Pelodiscus sinensis: one gene and its partner. The protein of the gene in region 1 interacts with the protein of each later gene in a pairwise test. Links are inferred from orthologs where the notes say so. Each region holds a gene or a part of one and is shown in the gene's direction. Other genes may lie near its edges.

The links. The genes of interacting proteins can lie anywhere in the genome.
Region 2: the proteins of DAZAP2 (region 1) and UBC interact in binary tests that used the Homo sapiens proteins (3 or more experiments, as listed by UniProt). The two-hybrid records come from large-scale screens. The link is inferred for Pelodiscus sinensis from reciprocal best matches to the Homo sapiens genes DAZAP2 and UBC.

What each region holds. Positions count from the first base shown.
Region 1 is NC_134729.1:2,041,193-2,049,441, reverse strand, and holds the start of DAZAP2 (DAZ-associated protein 2), read left to right. Parts: upstream 1-4,636; 5' UTR 4,637-4,749; coding exon 4,750-4,762; intron 4,763-7,599; coding exon 7,600-7,721; intron 7,722-8,249. UniProt on the Homo sapiens protein: In unstressed cells, promotes SIAH1-mediated polyubiquitination and degradation of the serine/threonine-protein kinase HIPK2, probably by acting as a loading factor that potentiates complex formation between HIPK2 and ubiquitin ligase SIAH1.
Region 2 is NC_134731.1:3,489,122-3,496,450, forward strand, and holds UBC (polyubiquitin-C), read left to right. Parts: upstream 1-3,808; 5' UTR 3,809-3,967; intron 3,968-4,679; 5' UTR 4,680-4,685; coding exon 4,686-6,059; 3' UTR 6,060-6,202; downstream 6,203-7,329.

The sequences.
Region 1 (8,249 bases):
TCGACGCATTCGTAACTCAGGGACCACCTGTATAACAAAACCAAACTGGAGGTCTCTCAGTGGCTGTCTGTCTTTCCAGACCACTCTATCCCTTTCAGAAGTCTTGCAAACCCGCAAGCTTCCCCTCACTTAAAAACTACTTGCTTCCAATATCAGTCATAAAAATCCAAGTACAAGAGCCACACTGTTACTGAAAAATAGCTTCTAATTTTTACCTTCTATTTATACATCAATTGGAACATAATATAAATATTGTACTCGTATTTCAGTCTGTAGTAGATACAGCAGTATAAACAAGTCATTTATGAAATTTTAGTTTGTACAGACTTTTCTGGGGCTTTTTATGCAAATAGGCAAATATCTAGATGAGCTGATGAATCCCCTGGAAGACCTCTACATACCCCCAGTGGTACATGCACCCCTGGTTGCAAGCGACTGCCTTATGAAACAGCTGTAGTTATCTGGGACCATTTGAAAGGAACTGTTCTCTTCTGAATCATTTGATTGTTTATTATTTATATTACAGCTCCCCACTGTGCGAGATGCCATATGGACAAGTTACAAAGAATAAATGTCAGAGGAATAGCCACGTTAGTCTGTACCTGGAAAACATAGTGGGACTGAACTGGCCTTGATAACAGTGGTCCTCCACTTGGAGGCTACGTCTACACTGGCATGAATTTCTGAAAATGCTTTTAACGGAAAACTTTTCCGTTAAAAGCATTTTTGGAAAAGCACGTCTAGATTGGCAGGGTGCTTTTCCACAAAAGCACTTTTTGCAGAAAAGCGTCCGTGGCCAATCTAGACGCGGTTTTCCGCAAAAAAGCCCAGATCGCCTTTTTCGCGATCGGGGCTTTTTTGCGGAAAACAGTACTATGCTGTCTACTCTGGCCCTTTTGCGCAAAAGTCTTTTGGAAAAAGACATTTGCCCAAACGGGAGCAGCATAGTTTTTCCGGAAAAGCACTGATGATTTTACATGAGATCGTCAGTGCTTTTCTGGAAATTCAAGCGGCCAGTGTAGACAGTTGGCAAGTTTTTCCGGAAAAGCAGATGATTTTCCGGAAAAACTTGCCAGTCTAGACACAGCCGTAAAGTAACTCCCCTTTTTATATGCTAGAATTATATATTCCTACCTCTGTGATTACTACTCCCTGCAGCAGACAAATTGGTTTTGACCTATGGAAGCTTATGCCCAAATAAATCGGTTAATCTTTAAGGTACCATAATTCCTTGTTGTTTTTAAAAGAATAAATGAACAAATTCCATCAAATGGACATTTTGACTAGCCACTTGCCTAACCCATGGCTTACATGGGATACTTACTCTCAAAACCACTCTGGATTCCATCGACTGTAAAGCCAGAAAGAAGCATTTTGATAATCCAGTCTGAACTCCTCAGGGCAAAGAACCTTACCCAAGAATTTCTGCATCAGGCTCATTCATTCTGTTTTAGCAATAGCAGATCACTGAGCAAGACATCCAATCTTGACAAAAACGGCAAAGGATGTAGAAACTACCCTGTCTCTACGCGAGTTGTTCCAATAATTAATTATCTTGAATTTGCCCGTGTGAGATCACATGGACGCAAGCTGGTTCCAGCCCTTGGTTCCGCAATCACCTTGTAAAGAAGGGGCATGCACGAGGTGGGGTCACCATTCCTGAGCGAGTCCCATGAGGGTATGAAACAGGAGTCTGGGGAATAGTACAGACACCAACTTCCTGTTTTAACACCAAAGAGGATATGTTTTAAAATAACTAACATATCCTAAAGCTCGGGCCAAAATAACTAATAAAGCATTAGCTGGTGCTAATGAACACAATCCACTGCTTGGTGAAATTTAACTCGCCTTAAGGCTTAATTAAATGTAAAAATATTTGGAGGTTATCAGCTATTTCCATTGATCTTTTATGTATGAACTTAGAAACGCTTGCCTTTTCTATGTCCGATTCAGAAGGGAGAAAAAACAAAAAAGGAAGATTACATGGATCCCCCCCCCCAAGTTAGCTCAACTGACTGTTTACAGCTCTTTGCTACTTGAGAGAGCATTAGTCAGTGAGTCTTGCAACAAGCCTGTATCTAGTGGCTGAGCTACAGTCTATTTTTAAAGTCATCCTGTCTTGAAAGACTTCAAGAGATGGAGAATCTGCCTCCACACAAATCAGACATCAGCAATGGTAACACACAATAACCTGTAGGGGAACATTTTAACCTATCTGGTCACTCAATCATGGATTTAAAAATAGCCATTATTCTACAAAGAAATTGCACCAGCCAATTACAGAGAGACACTGTAGAACTGGAATTCATCTACAAATATGACATTGTTAGCCTGGGCTTGAATAAAAACATGATTAATGCACTAGAAAGCCCATCTCCCCTGCCTTTAACATCCCCATTGTCACATCAAAAGATATAAATGGGACACAGGCAGCCCACTTAATTAGCTTAATTAACCCAGGTCCTACAATTGACCGGTGCTTCTTTTGCTGTTATATATATCTTCGATTCTGTTATTGCCACTCCAGCTCATCTGAGGAAGTGGGTTTCACCCACAAAAAGCTTATGATACTGTATATTTTTCTTAGTCTCTAAGATGCCACAGGACAGCTGTTGCTTTTAAAGTTACAGACTAACACAGCTACCCCGCTGTGACTTCCTTTGGGAAGTTACTCCAATGGTAAATTACCCTGTTTCATGTGTGTGCTTTACTGGTGGCCTGAAGAGGCCCAGTTTCAGTTTCTAGCCAGGGGCGCTCGTTATGCTTTTGTCTGCTTGATTAAAGAGCCCTCTGTTATCAAACATCTACCCGCATGTTGGTGCTCACAGAGGGAGAAGGAAGAGCGTCTGGTCTCCTTGGCTGGAAGGAGAGGTGGCTCCCCCCCCAAACCAATACCTGTCAGGGAAACGCAGCGCAGCCAAAGCAGCCCCCCGCTGCCCCTCCCCTCCAGGCCCGGGACAAGCAGCCCCCCCCGCTCCCCCTCCCCTCCAGGCCCGGGACAAGCAGCCCCCCCCCGCTCCCCCTCCCCTCCAGGCCCGGGACAAGCAGCCCCCCCCCGCTCCCCCTCCCCTCCAGGCCCGGGACAAGCAGCCCCCCCCGCTCCCCCTCCCCTCCAGGCCCGGGACAAGCAGCCCCCCCCCGCTCCCCCTCCCCTCCAGGCCCGGGACAAGCAGCCCCCCCCCGCTCCCCCTCCCCTCCAGGCCCGGGACAAGCAGCCCCCCCCGCTCCCCCTCCCCTCCAGGCCCGGGACAAGCAGCCCCCCCCCGCTCCCCCTCCCCCCCCCAGGCCCGGGACAAGCAGCCCCCCCCGCTCCCCCCTCCCCCAGGCCCGGGACAAGCAGCCCCCCCGCTCCCCCTCCCCCCCAGGCCCGGGACAAGCAGCCCCCCCCGCTCCCCCTCCCCCCCAGGCCCGGGACAAGCAGCCCCCCCCGCTCCCCCTGCCCCCCAGGCCCGGGACAAGCAGCCCCCCCGCTCCCCCTCCCCCCCAGGCCCGGGACAAGCAGCCCCCCCCGCTCTCCCTCCCCTCCAGGCCCGGGACAAGCAGCCCCCCCGCTCCCCCTCCCCCCCAGGCCCGGGACAAGCAGCCCCCCGCTCTCCCTCCCCTCCAGGCCCGGGACAAGCAGCCCCCCCCGCTCTCCCTCCCCTCCAGGCCCGGGACAAGCAGCCCCCCCGCTCCCCCTCCCCCCCAGGCCCGGGACAAGCAGCCCCCCCCGCTCTCCCTCCCCTCCAGGCCCGGGACAAGCAGCCCCCCCCGCTCCCCCTCCCCCCCAGGCCCGGGACAAGCAGCCCCCCCGCTCCCCCTCCCCCCCAGGCCCGGGACAAGCAGCCCCCCCGCTCCCCCTCCCCCCCAGGCCCGGGACAAGCAGCCCCCCCCGCTCTCCCTCCCCTCCAGGCCCGGGACAAGCAGCCCCCCCGCTCCCCCTCCCCCCCAGGCCCGGGACAAGCAGCCCCCCCGCTCTCCCTCCCCTCCAGGCCCGGGACAAGCAGCCCCCCCGCTCCCCCTCCCCCCCCGGCCCGGGACAAGCAGCCCCCCCCGCTCCCCCTCCCCTCCAGGCCCGGGACAAGCAGCCCCCGCTCCCCCTCCCCTCCAGGCCCGGGACAAGCAGCCCCCCCCGCTCCCCCTCCCCTCCAGGCCCGGGACAAGCAGCCCCCCCGCTCCCCCTCCCCCCCAGGCCCGGGACAAGCAGCCCCCCCCGCTCCCCCTCCCCTCCAGGCCCGGGACAAGCAGCCCCCCCCGCTCCCCCTCCCCTCCAGGCCCGGGACAAGCAGCCCCCCCGCTCCCCCTCCCCCCCAGGCCCGGGACAAGCAGCCCCCCCCGCTCCCCCTCCCCTCCAGGCCCGGGACAAGCAGCCCCCCCCCGCTCCCCCTCCCCCCCCGGCCCGGGACAAGCAGCCCCCCCCGCTCCCCCTCCCCTCCAGGCCCGGGACAAGCAGCCCCCCCGCTCCCCCTCCCCCCCCGGCCCGGGACAAGCAGCCCCCCCGCTCCCCCTCCCCCTCCAGGCCCGGGACAAGCAGCCCGCTCCCCAGGTGGGGGCGGGACTCGCCGTTTGGAACGGGGGGGGCGGGGCGAGCATTACGCAACCCCGCTCGCCCGCGTAGGCCACGCCCCCATGACCTCTCCCCTCGCGCCGTGACGTCAGGACGCCGCGCACACGCCGACGTCGGCCGCCCCTCCCCCCACCCGTCGCAGCGCCGCAGTGACAATAACAAGGAAGTGCGCGGAGCGAGCGGAGCCACCGCCCGAGCGAGCCATGAACGGAAAAGGCAAGAGGGGGGGGAGGGGTCAGCCCCGTAGCGAGGGGTCAGCCTTGTGGGGGGGGGGGGGAAGGGGTCAGCCCCGTAGCGAGGGGTCAGCCTTGTGGGGGAGGGGTCAGCCCCGTAGCGAGGGGTCAGCCTTGTGGGGGGGGAGGGGTCAGCCCCATAGGGAGGGGTCAGCCTTGGGGGGGAGGGGTCAGCCCCATAGCAAGGGGTCAGCCTTGTGGGGGGGGAGGGGTCAGCCCCATAGCAAGGGGTCAGCCTTGGGGGGGGAGGGGCGAGGGGTCAGCCCCATAGCAAGGGGTCAGCCTTGGGGGGGGGGAAGGGCGAGGGGTCAGCCCCATAGCAAGGGGTCAGCCTTGGGGGGGGAGGGGCGAGGGGTCAGCCCCATAGCAAGGGGTCAGCCTTGGGGGGGGAAGGGCGAGGGGTCAGCCCCATAGCAGGGGGTCAGCCTTGGGGGGGGAAGGGCGAGGGGTCAGCCCCATAGCAAGGGGTCAGCCTTGGGGGGGGGAAGGGCGAGGGGTCAGCCCCATAGCAAGGGGTCAGCCTCTTGGGGGAGGGGGGGCAGCCTTGTGGGGGGGGAGGGCTCAGCCCTATGGTGAGGGGTTAGCCTCTTGGGGGAGACAGGGGTGGGGTGTGAGGAAGGGGTCTGTGCCGTGGGAGAGGGGTCAGCCCCATGGAATAAGGGGTCAACTTCACAGGGAGGAGGGGAAGGGGTGCGTGGAGGGGTCATCCCTATGGGGGAGGCAGGGGAAGGGGTCACTGCATAGGGGAGGAGTCAGCTCCTTGGGGGCAGTAGTTCTGCAGGTGGGGGTGGGTTTTTGGGGGGAAGGGGGGATGCTTGTAGCAGCGCGTGTAGCTGCAGGAGACTGTTGTCATGGGTCACGATAAGGCAGCTAGAAGGGCACAAGGGAATGGTGGGGCAAGAGGGTGAGGGTGGTGACTCCTTGTTGCCTTGAAGAAACAGGGAGCCCCAGGCATTCTTGGGAGGCTTGTACGTAACAGTTAATGCAGCCGTTCAGTGCGTGAACCTGGATTTGCTGAGAATCCCTAAACTGTGTCACGGGGTCTCTCCCTCGCCTGTTTCCCGTAAGAGAGCTGCTCTGTCTGCAGGATTGCGCTATGCCCCAGCAGCACCTTGGAGAGGGGAGTGATAGTCGTGGAGGAGGCCATCAGGGTAGTGGTGGGGTCTGTGACATTGAGGAGCTGTGCTTGAGGGGTTAATACACATTTGTACAACTCCCGTTGATTGTGTTTATTATTTGCCTTGGGTAGTATGAGCTGCCGGCCTTTCGAGAGGTATTAAGATCTTTTAATCACTTCAGGAATCTTGGTCACTTGCGATCAGCAAAGCTGCTTCTTTTCTCTTAATTTTCCTCGGGGCAGTGGCTCCCTCTAGTTTTGGGTGCTCTCATGTTCATGGCAATGAGCCTCTTATAAAAGCATGACTAGAATTCAAGTTTACCCTGCAAGATCACTGTGTTCCCCTCCACTCCTTTTTTTTGTTCAAGGCTGTGTTTTGAATCTGTACTGATCATAGAAACATTGATATTGGCCTTTGGTTTGGTAGAGCTTTACAAGAACACAGCTTTGACCTGACAGTGACACATGAAAGCATCACCTCCTGGATGGTGACACATTAAAGCAACGCCTCCTTGCTATTGCTGGCTATGTTCAGAGCAGCTGAAAAAACACATAGAAATTATTTATTTTAAACACGATAGTGGCCTGATGAGAGAAACTGACTGTAGAGCCAGCTGCAGTAAGGATTAATAGATCACTTCAGAATTTTACCAAGATGTTAAGCAGGGCTTCTTATTGGCCTTGACTTGAAGAGCAATGCTACCATACAGTTAAAACAAAAAACAGGACTATGTATCACTTTAAAGACTAACAAGATGGTTTATTAGGTGATGAGCTTTCACGGGCCAGACCCACTTCCTCAGATCAAATAGTGGAAGAAAATTGTCACAACCATATATACCAAAGGATACAATTAAAATTGTATCTGGCCCACAAAAGCTCATCACCTAATAAACCATCTTGTTAGTCTTTAAAGTGCTACATAGTCCTGTTTTCTGTTTCAGCTACACCAGACTAACGGCTACATTTCTATCACCCTACAGTTACTTATTCTTGATGCGTTAAGATGCATGCCATTTTAATGCAATGTAATCTTTTGCATAAATTAATAAATGGGTAAGAAAGAATAGTGTGTGTGTGTGTGTGGGGGAGAGCTTGGGTTAGGGAAAAGATCTGCTCTTATTTGGGGGACTATATTTATTTCTTGCTGCAATCTATGATATCCCTTTTGTTCTCTCTCTCTCTCGGTACACAGATTAACCATGTTAAGTTGTAAAACATTAAGTTCATTAACATATGCTCTTTGAAAATAGCACGTGTGACAGCCTATCAAGAACTTCAAATGATAAAGGGTCTAGTATTGTTGATGTCCCAGTAGTTGGCGTAGTTCTGTGGCACAGAGTCAAAACTTTGTGACTTGCAAGTCTGAGCAGAGAAATGCCTAATTCTAAATAGGGTGGTTTGTCAGCAGCTCTGCACATGAAGGTGTTTGTTTTTCATAGTGGCCTAGTTCTTTTAAAGGATTTTAACAGTACAGAAATTAGTTTTTGCTTTTAGTTCCAATCAGACTACGCGTACCGAGTGGACTTTATTTTGTACCTTCCTTCTTGTGCACTCAGCCAATATTTGTACATAACAAGAGGCAATTTCAATGAATCTATCAAGGATCTATAAAGGAGGGGGCTTTCCATCAGCTCATCTTCTGTCCCATTTCCATAATGGCAGCTCCGTTAACGCTGGCCAAATTCTCTTCTGCCTCTTAGGTCAATATCCGACGCAGCCATCCTACCCAGTGCAACCTCCTGGTAATCCTTCTGTGTACCCACAGACCATGCCTCTTCCTCAGGCACCACCATATACCGATGCACCTCCTGCTTACTCTGAGGTATGCCGTATGTCCTGTCTTTATTTGTGCTCCACACCCAAAAAGTAAACTTGGTTACATATGAATTCGTAATACTGGCACTCCCCGTGTTTCAAACATCTGACTTCTGAACATCCATAACTACAAACAAAAGCTCACCTGCAGCCTCAGGGGAGCAGGTGAGAGGCACAGGTGAAGGGGTGGCTGGAGGACTAGGGGGCGGTTACGTAGATAGTGGCTGGAGAGCAGTGGCATTTGAAGGGAAAACCGCCTCTTCTCTCTAACTACTGTCTGGACAGTTGCCCCCTGCTCCTCCAGTGTTCTCTGGCCCATTCTTGTGCCTCTTGCTGCCTCCTGGTAAGGATAGGGCTGTCTGCAGTAGCTGCACAGAGCCCGTGGGGAAGGGAGGAAGGGCGTTTGGGGAATGCTCACAAGTCCCCTTCAGAATCTCTACTGACCTCATCCTCCTCTAATTAATCTTGCCTTTCCTCAGGCACCAGCATTCAAGGTTAAATTTAAAAACACAACAAGGTTCTGCTATTTTTCATT
Region 2 (7,329 bases), on another chromosome or scaffold:
GTTTTTTAATTGTATTTTTATTCTGGATGGCTTCATTTCCTTTCATTGTAAACTGGGAAGGTGCTCCCAGCAGGAGCAAACTTGCTATGTTAAAGAAAACCAAATGTGTATTAATCAGAGAAAAAAAGATATTAAATGTATAATTTTGTACAGATTCCAGCTTGTGTTTGAGTGAGAAAAAGTATCAGTTCTCTTTTTTTATTGAACCACAAGTTCATTCAGGTCCACAGGAAGAACTAGCAGTAAGCTGAATTCTACCATGTGACAAATTTTTTGGATCTAGCAAAGCCCTTGTATAACCTTGGTTCAAGGATCAAATGAAGCTCCACTAGTATTTGCAACAATTCCCTGTCAGTTTACATGAGGAAGTTATTACATGACCTCACCAGAACTTTCTATTAAAAACTCTGGTAAATACTAGGTTGAGTTTCTGATTGCAGCGCTTAATAACTATGCTGTTTCACAACACCCCAGTAACAAAATAAAGTTTGGCAATATGCTTTACATTTAGAAGAAAAGTAGTCCAGGAAACTGAAGTTAATGTGATTAGAAAAACATGAATCCTAAGTATGACACATGGACATGCAGTTACTCAACTGACCAAGTTCTAAATAATGAAATTTCTCCACTCTTCTAATAAGCCTGTACTGTTCCTGGCCTGCCTTTGTTTTCACAATTGCAACATACATAGAAGTAGTAACACAGAATATTCCAGGACAGTACAGTTAGTACTGTAGCATTTTACCATAATTTTCAATAAAGATTTTCCCCTTTCCCCAGTGAAATTTAGAGTAAACTTGACAATTGTTATGGACTCTGGAAACACACAAGCACTAACAAACAGATGATAGAGAATTTATCCAAGAAATATTTATTTTCCAGGTATACAGAAAAGTGTGCCTAAAGAATTACAGACCGATAAAAAACGCTGGGGGAACCCAGCAGGGAACATGTTTCTGACACAAAGGGCCTGATCCACCCATGCCCTGCACTATGTGTAATAATTTACACTACTGGAGAATGCCAAGAATCATTATGTAAAGCAACAGACTGTGCTCCCTGAATTCAAAAGGCACAAACTAATGTACTTTGGTCACATTAGGCATAGTAATAAAAGTAACCCCAAACAAGTTTTAATGGAAGTAATGATGGTGGATCATGATAGTCAGGGAAGACCTGCAAGATGGACAGATAGTGTGTGGTAAATCACTGAGAGATTAGCTACTGAGCGTACAAAATCAGTGGTGGATTGAGGAGGCTTGTGAAAATTCTGTTATGTCACCAGTATTCAGATATGAATAAATGGACTTAACCCACGTGCTTAAAACACGAGTGCAAAACATTACCATTCTTACGGCATATTTCTACTACACATTAGCAGCTGTGCCACTGTAGCACATCTGGTGAAGATGCGCTAAGCCAGGGGTCTCAAACTCCCAGCCCACGGGCCATCTATGGGCCGAAGCATATACAGGAGGCTCCCGACTTGCAACCACCCAAGTTCCGACCCCCCGCACTTACAACAATTTTTGTAAGTGCAGAAGAGGCTGGAAACCCCCGACTTACGTCCTCGGCTCACATTTACGACAGGCGCATGGCACCTATCGTAAATGAAGGTTCGCGTTATGACATCCCCGACTTGCGACACTTCCCCTGGAATCAATCACGTCACAAGTTGGGGGCCTCCTGTATGTAATTCTGTTTGGGAGTCCGGACGGCCCAAGGGGCATTCTGAGCCCATCCCCGAAGCTCCAACTCTTCAGCAGGCACACTTGCTCTGCTTCCTTATCATTCCTGTTGCCGCTGCTGCCCCCCACACTAGGTCCCCTCAATAATCCTCAAAGCTGGGTCTCTCAGAGGATGGGATACCATGGGGGAGGGGAGATAGAGGGAGAGTCAGTGATGGAAAGGAGCAGGCCTTGGGGGACAGGTTCAGACATGGCCCTCTGGGCCACAGGTCTCCCAAGCCGGACTGTGAATACGCTCTGATCTGTAGATGATCCTCAGGCCAGGAGTTTGAGAGCCCTGCTGTAAGCAAATGTGAGAGCTGTCCTATCAGCTTAGTAATTCCATTTCTGTGAGATGTGGTAGTAACTATGTCATGGGAGTTCTCCCATCTACACAGTGCTGTCTACATTGGAGCATATGTGTATGTTAAAGTCGGTATAACTACATTGCACCCTTTAGCAGTGTAGTTATACTGAATTGTATAGCATAGATAAAGCCTCATACATACGATGACTTTTCACACTCACTTTGTGCTGGCCTGACTACACTAGGTGCAAGACAACAATAGATCAAGTCCAAGACTCCTCACTGTTGAGAAGTACAAGCTTAGGTGAGGTGCAAAAGTTGCACCAGTGAAGTTTAGCTGAGTACAGACCCATGAATTCCCCACTCTCATTTCAGTCTATGAAAAATCTTAAAAAACAACAAATAGTCCCACAGCACCTTGCGAGACTAACAAAACACATAGATGGTGTCATGAGCTTTTGTGGGCACAACCCACTTCTTCAGATGAATGGAGTTACGGGGTCCAGGCTTTCAAATTTGCAACCTGGACCATTTAACTCCATTCATCTTAAGCAAAGGATTGTGACCACAAAAAGCTCACGACACCATCCACATTTTTTTTTTTAGTCTCTAAGGTACTGTGAGACTATTTGTTGTTTTTTAAAGTTTTTTTCCAGTTACAGACTAACACAGCTTCCCGTCTGAAATGTCAGTCTATGGCAGCGGTCAGCAGGGGCTACATGAAGCCCACTGGGGTCCTCTGCGTGGCCCGCAAGACTGTTGCCAAGCACAGAGATTCTGCTGGTTTCCGTCCGTGTGGTTTTTCTCCGACTGGTATTACTACAGTGCCAGGCACGTGGCGCAAGGCCACGGGCGGTGCGGTGCGCGCCGACGGCACGGGCCATTGTGAGAGCCGCGTGCGTCCGGTCGAAGCGCTGCGACGGGTCCGTCGGCTCATCCCGCCAACTCCAGGGACACAGGCACAGTTGGCAAAACTACCCTCTCGCGGGAGGCCGCCTCGCTTGCGACAGTCTTGCGGCCCCTGAGAGGACGAGCCGCTCCTGCCGCCTGCTCACGCGCCTCGGTTGCCCACGGCCCGTCGGGTGGCGGCGCCCGGTTCAAATGGCGCCAGGCACAGCCCCCCGCGAAGCCGGCCCTGCAAGAGGCTGGATGCTCTTCGCCCTGGCACGAATGGCCGCTGGTCCAGGCAGGAGGGGGGCTTCCCCAACCTGGCTGCTGGGGGCACTGTAGCCATCCCTCCCTCCCAGAGCCGTTGGCCTCCCTTGTGGAGTCCCCCTCCCCCCGCATGAGACGGTTCCCGCCTGAGAGACCAGGCCCCTCCCCCACTGCGGCAGCGCCGCTCCCGAAATCTGCTCCACCGAGTCGCGCCCCTTAGCAACAAGGCTTACCTCACCCCGCGCCAATCAGCGGCCAGCACCGCTCGCCCCTTCCCCCCCGGCTCTTCCAGAGCTTTCTCCCTAGACTCCTCTGGGAGCCAATCAACGACCAGTCTCGCCCCCTCCGCACCCAATCAGTGTCGATCAGTGCCAGAACCCCGCCTACCGTCCTCAGGGGTTGCGAAGCTTCCAGAGCGGTCTGGCAGCCTTCTCACCGTGGCAAAAATCCCTCCGCGCCTCGGAGACTTCGGTTATTCGGAGGGAGAGCGGTGGATTTGGCCGAGAAGGGGACAGGGCGTAGCTTTGAGACGTCCAAAAAGGTTCCGGGAGGAGGAAGGACCCCTATTTCCCCTGGATGCAGGCCCACCGCTGGGAACTATTTTCTGCAGCGCACTGATACTAGCGGGGCGTGACTGCGTGCGTCGACTGCGTCACCCGTCCCATAAATAGGAGCGGGCGGAGACACCCTGTAGCAGTGCGGTTTCGTAGTAGCGGGGTAAAGTCAGCCTTTGTGAAGCAAATTTTTTCGGTTTTCTAGACGAGCGTCCGGGCTAACGGTAGGCGCTGGGGGGCACCTCGGCAGGATGTGAGCGGGAGGGCGATGAGGACAGTGGCGCGGAGAGCGGCCTGCGCGCGCGGCGGGGTATTAACTCGGCCCTGCTCTGTGTGGGGAAGGCGGTTGGGCGCGAGGGGCCCCGGCCTAAGATGGCGGGGGCTGCGCGGCGCCATTCGCTCGCCTTCCCGGAAGAGAAGGGCGCGAGTCACGGGCGCGCATTGTGACTGGGCGGGAAACGGGGTGGCCCCCACATGCCGTAAGCGGCGCCCGTCGCGCAGAGGGGGATGGGGCCGAGCCGCCGTGGGGGTGCGGGGCGGCCGGGACGGTAAAAGTCCCAGAGAGTGGGGGTGGGAAGATGGCCGCGCGGTTTTTTTTCTTCCCCTCCCCCATTATAAGCCTCGCGCTTAGTTCCCTGGTGGGGGCGGGGGAGGGAGCATTTGGGTCCAGGCTCGATCTTGCTCAGCTCAGACTCCCTTTGTGGGCAGGAGATGTTGTGCTTTAAGCCAGCACCATCTTGGTGTTGAGACTCCAGGAAACAGGACTGGGAGATTTGTGTCTCCAAAATATTTCCAAGACTTTCTTTACTGGCATATCTTGAGTCACTTTTTGTACTGCAGTGTTAGTGGGAAGCTTTTGGGGTCTGGGTTTTTGTCCTGTTTTGTAGCAAGTTGATCATTATGGGAAGCTGAACATTTTTCTCGTTCTTTGTACAGTTCACCATGCAGATCTTTGTGAAGACCCTGACTGGCAAGACTATCACCCTAGAGGTGGAGCCCAGTGACACCATTGAGAATGTGAAAGCCAAGATCCAGGACAAAGAAGGCATCCCCCCTGACCAGCAGAGGCTGATCTTTGCTGGCAAGCAGCTGGAAGATGGCCGCACCCTGTCTGACTACAACATCCAGAAGGAGTCCACCCTCCATCTTGTGCTGCGTCTGAGAGGTGGTATGCAGATCTTTGTGAAGACCCTGACTGGCAAGACCATCACCCTAGAGGTGGAGCCCAGTGACACCATTGAGAACGTGAAAGCCAAGATCCAGGACAAAGAAGGCATCCCCCCTGACCAGCAGAGACTGATCTTTGCTGGCAAGCAGCTGGAAGATGGCCGCACCCTGTCTGACTACAACATCCAGAAGGAGTCCACCCTCCATCTTGTGCTGCGTCTGAGAGGTGGTATGCAGATCTTTGTGAAGACCCTGACTGGCAAGACCATCACCCTGGAGGTTGAACCCAGTGACACCATTGAGAACGTGAAAGCCAAGATCCAGGACAAAGAAGGCATCCCTCCTGACCAGCAGAGGCTGATCTTTGCCGGCAAGCAGCTGGAAGATGGCCGCACCCTGTCTGACTACAACATCCAGAAGGAGTCCACCCTCCATCTTGTGCTGCGTCTGAGAGGTGGTATGCAGATCTTTGTGAAGACCCTGACTGGCAAGACCATCACCCTAGAGGTGGAGCCCAGTGACACCATTGAGAACGTGAAAGCCAAGATCCAGGACAAAGAAGGCATCCCCCCTGACCAGCAGAGACTGATCTTTGCTGGCAAGCAGCTGGAAGATGGCCGCACCCTGTCTGACTACAACATCCAGAAGGAGTCCACCCTCCATCTTGTGCTGCGTCTGAGAGGTGGTATGCAGATCTTTGTGAAGACCCTGACTGGCAAGACCATCACCCTAGAGGTTGAACCCAGTGACACCATTGAGAACGTGAAAGCCAAGATCCAGGACAAAGAAGGCATCCCTCCTGACCAGCAGAGGCTGATCTTTGCCGGCAAGCAGCTGGAAGATGGCCGCACCCTGTCTGACTACAACATCCAGAAGGAGTCCACCCTCCATCTTGTGCTGCGTCTGAGAGGTGGTATGCAGATCTTTGTGAAGACCCTGACTGGCAAGACCATCACCCTAGAGGTTGAACCCAGTGACACTATTGAGAATGTGAAAGCCAAGATCCAGGACAAAGAAGGCATCCCCCCTGACCAGCAGAGGCTGATCTTTGCTGGCAAGCAGCTGGAGGATGGCCGCACCCTGTCTGACTACAACATCCAGAAGGAGTCCACCCTCCATCTTGTGCTGCGTCTGAGAGGTGGCTGTTAAGTTATTGTGGCTCTTCCTTTACAAGATTGCCAATAGCATTTGTTTTGCACTGTAGCCCGTCAATGTCTTAATATTGTAAGTTAACTGCAAGTTTCAGTAAATGCTGAACAGTGTATGCTAATAAAGGTTTTTGTTGCACATTATATGGTCTTTGTGAAACTATGCAGTACTTACCCAATTACCAGTTTTAATCTGATTGTGTTCCATGGAGTGGTATGTGGAGGCTTAGGTACTAATTCTGGTCTTGAGTTTACTTTTTAGATCAGAATATACAAAGTAATGAAATCCTCAACTTAATTATAATGGGGAAAATTCATTGATATACTAATTCCAATACATTTGAGACAGGAAAGGAGGTTCTGGTCCCCTTTTCATAGTAGGCATTCTCAGTTATGCCTCTCTGCTTAGTAAAACTTAAAGCCTACTCTAAAGAAAGGAACATGCCCCTCTGCTATAGCTAGTGCTGTTGCTCACTTGGCCTTTTTCAAACCGCATTAGTGTAAGTCCTGCTGTTTATAATGGTTTTCTTAATGGCAATGGTATTGCAGTCAGTTTTTCCCCTCTTCTATAAACTGCATCAACCATTTGGCATTAGAGAATGTATTCAGTGCATTTTTTGTTAATCAAATGAGATGATCAGCCCACTCAATGTAGGGTAACAAATGCGCACAAACTGGCTCTAGGTTTTCTTTGCACACATGAAAACTGGCTCAAGGGAAATACTAGCTTTCTAAGAAGAACTAATGCTGCTATAGGTTTCCATACATATATTTGAATAGTTCTACACTTCATTAGAAGGGTTAATATCGCAGTAGTAAATAATGGGCTTTAGCTTTAAGCAAAAGAATGGTGGGATAGAATCTTTCTGCCTAAACTTGCCCACTACTGCCAGCCATAGTTTTCTGTAAAACTCTTCCTTTTTCTTCAGAGCTGAGCCAGTGTTAGCTGCATCAAGTGGTGTGGGCTGTTGAAAATAGGCTGTCCAAACATGTTTAACCTTATAGCAGTGCATAAAATACATAAACTCAAACATAGCTATTCAGTTCGTTGTTTTTCAGAAATGTGAGGTATTACCTGTAACTATAGGCTGAGGATGTTTCAGCCTTACCAACAGGTCACTGGAAAGTGTCAACAGCAAGTACTGTTACTTCATTAACAAAATACATTTAACTCATGCTCACTGCACACAGACATGACTTGTGTCAATGGCTAAAACAATTGACCTGACTCCCTTTGTAAATAGCTTCTAAACTACAATAGTAGAAACCCA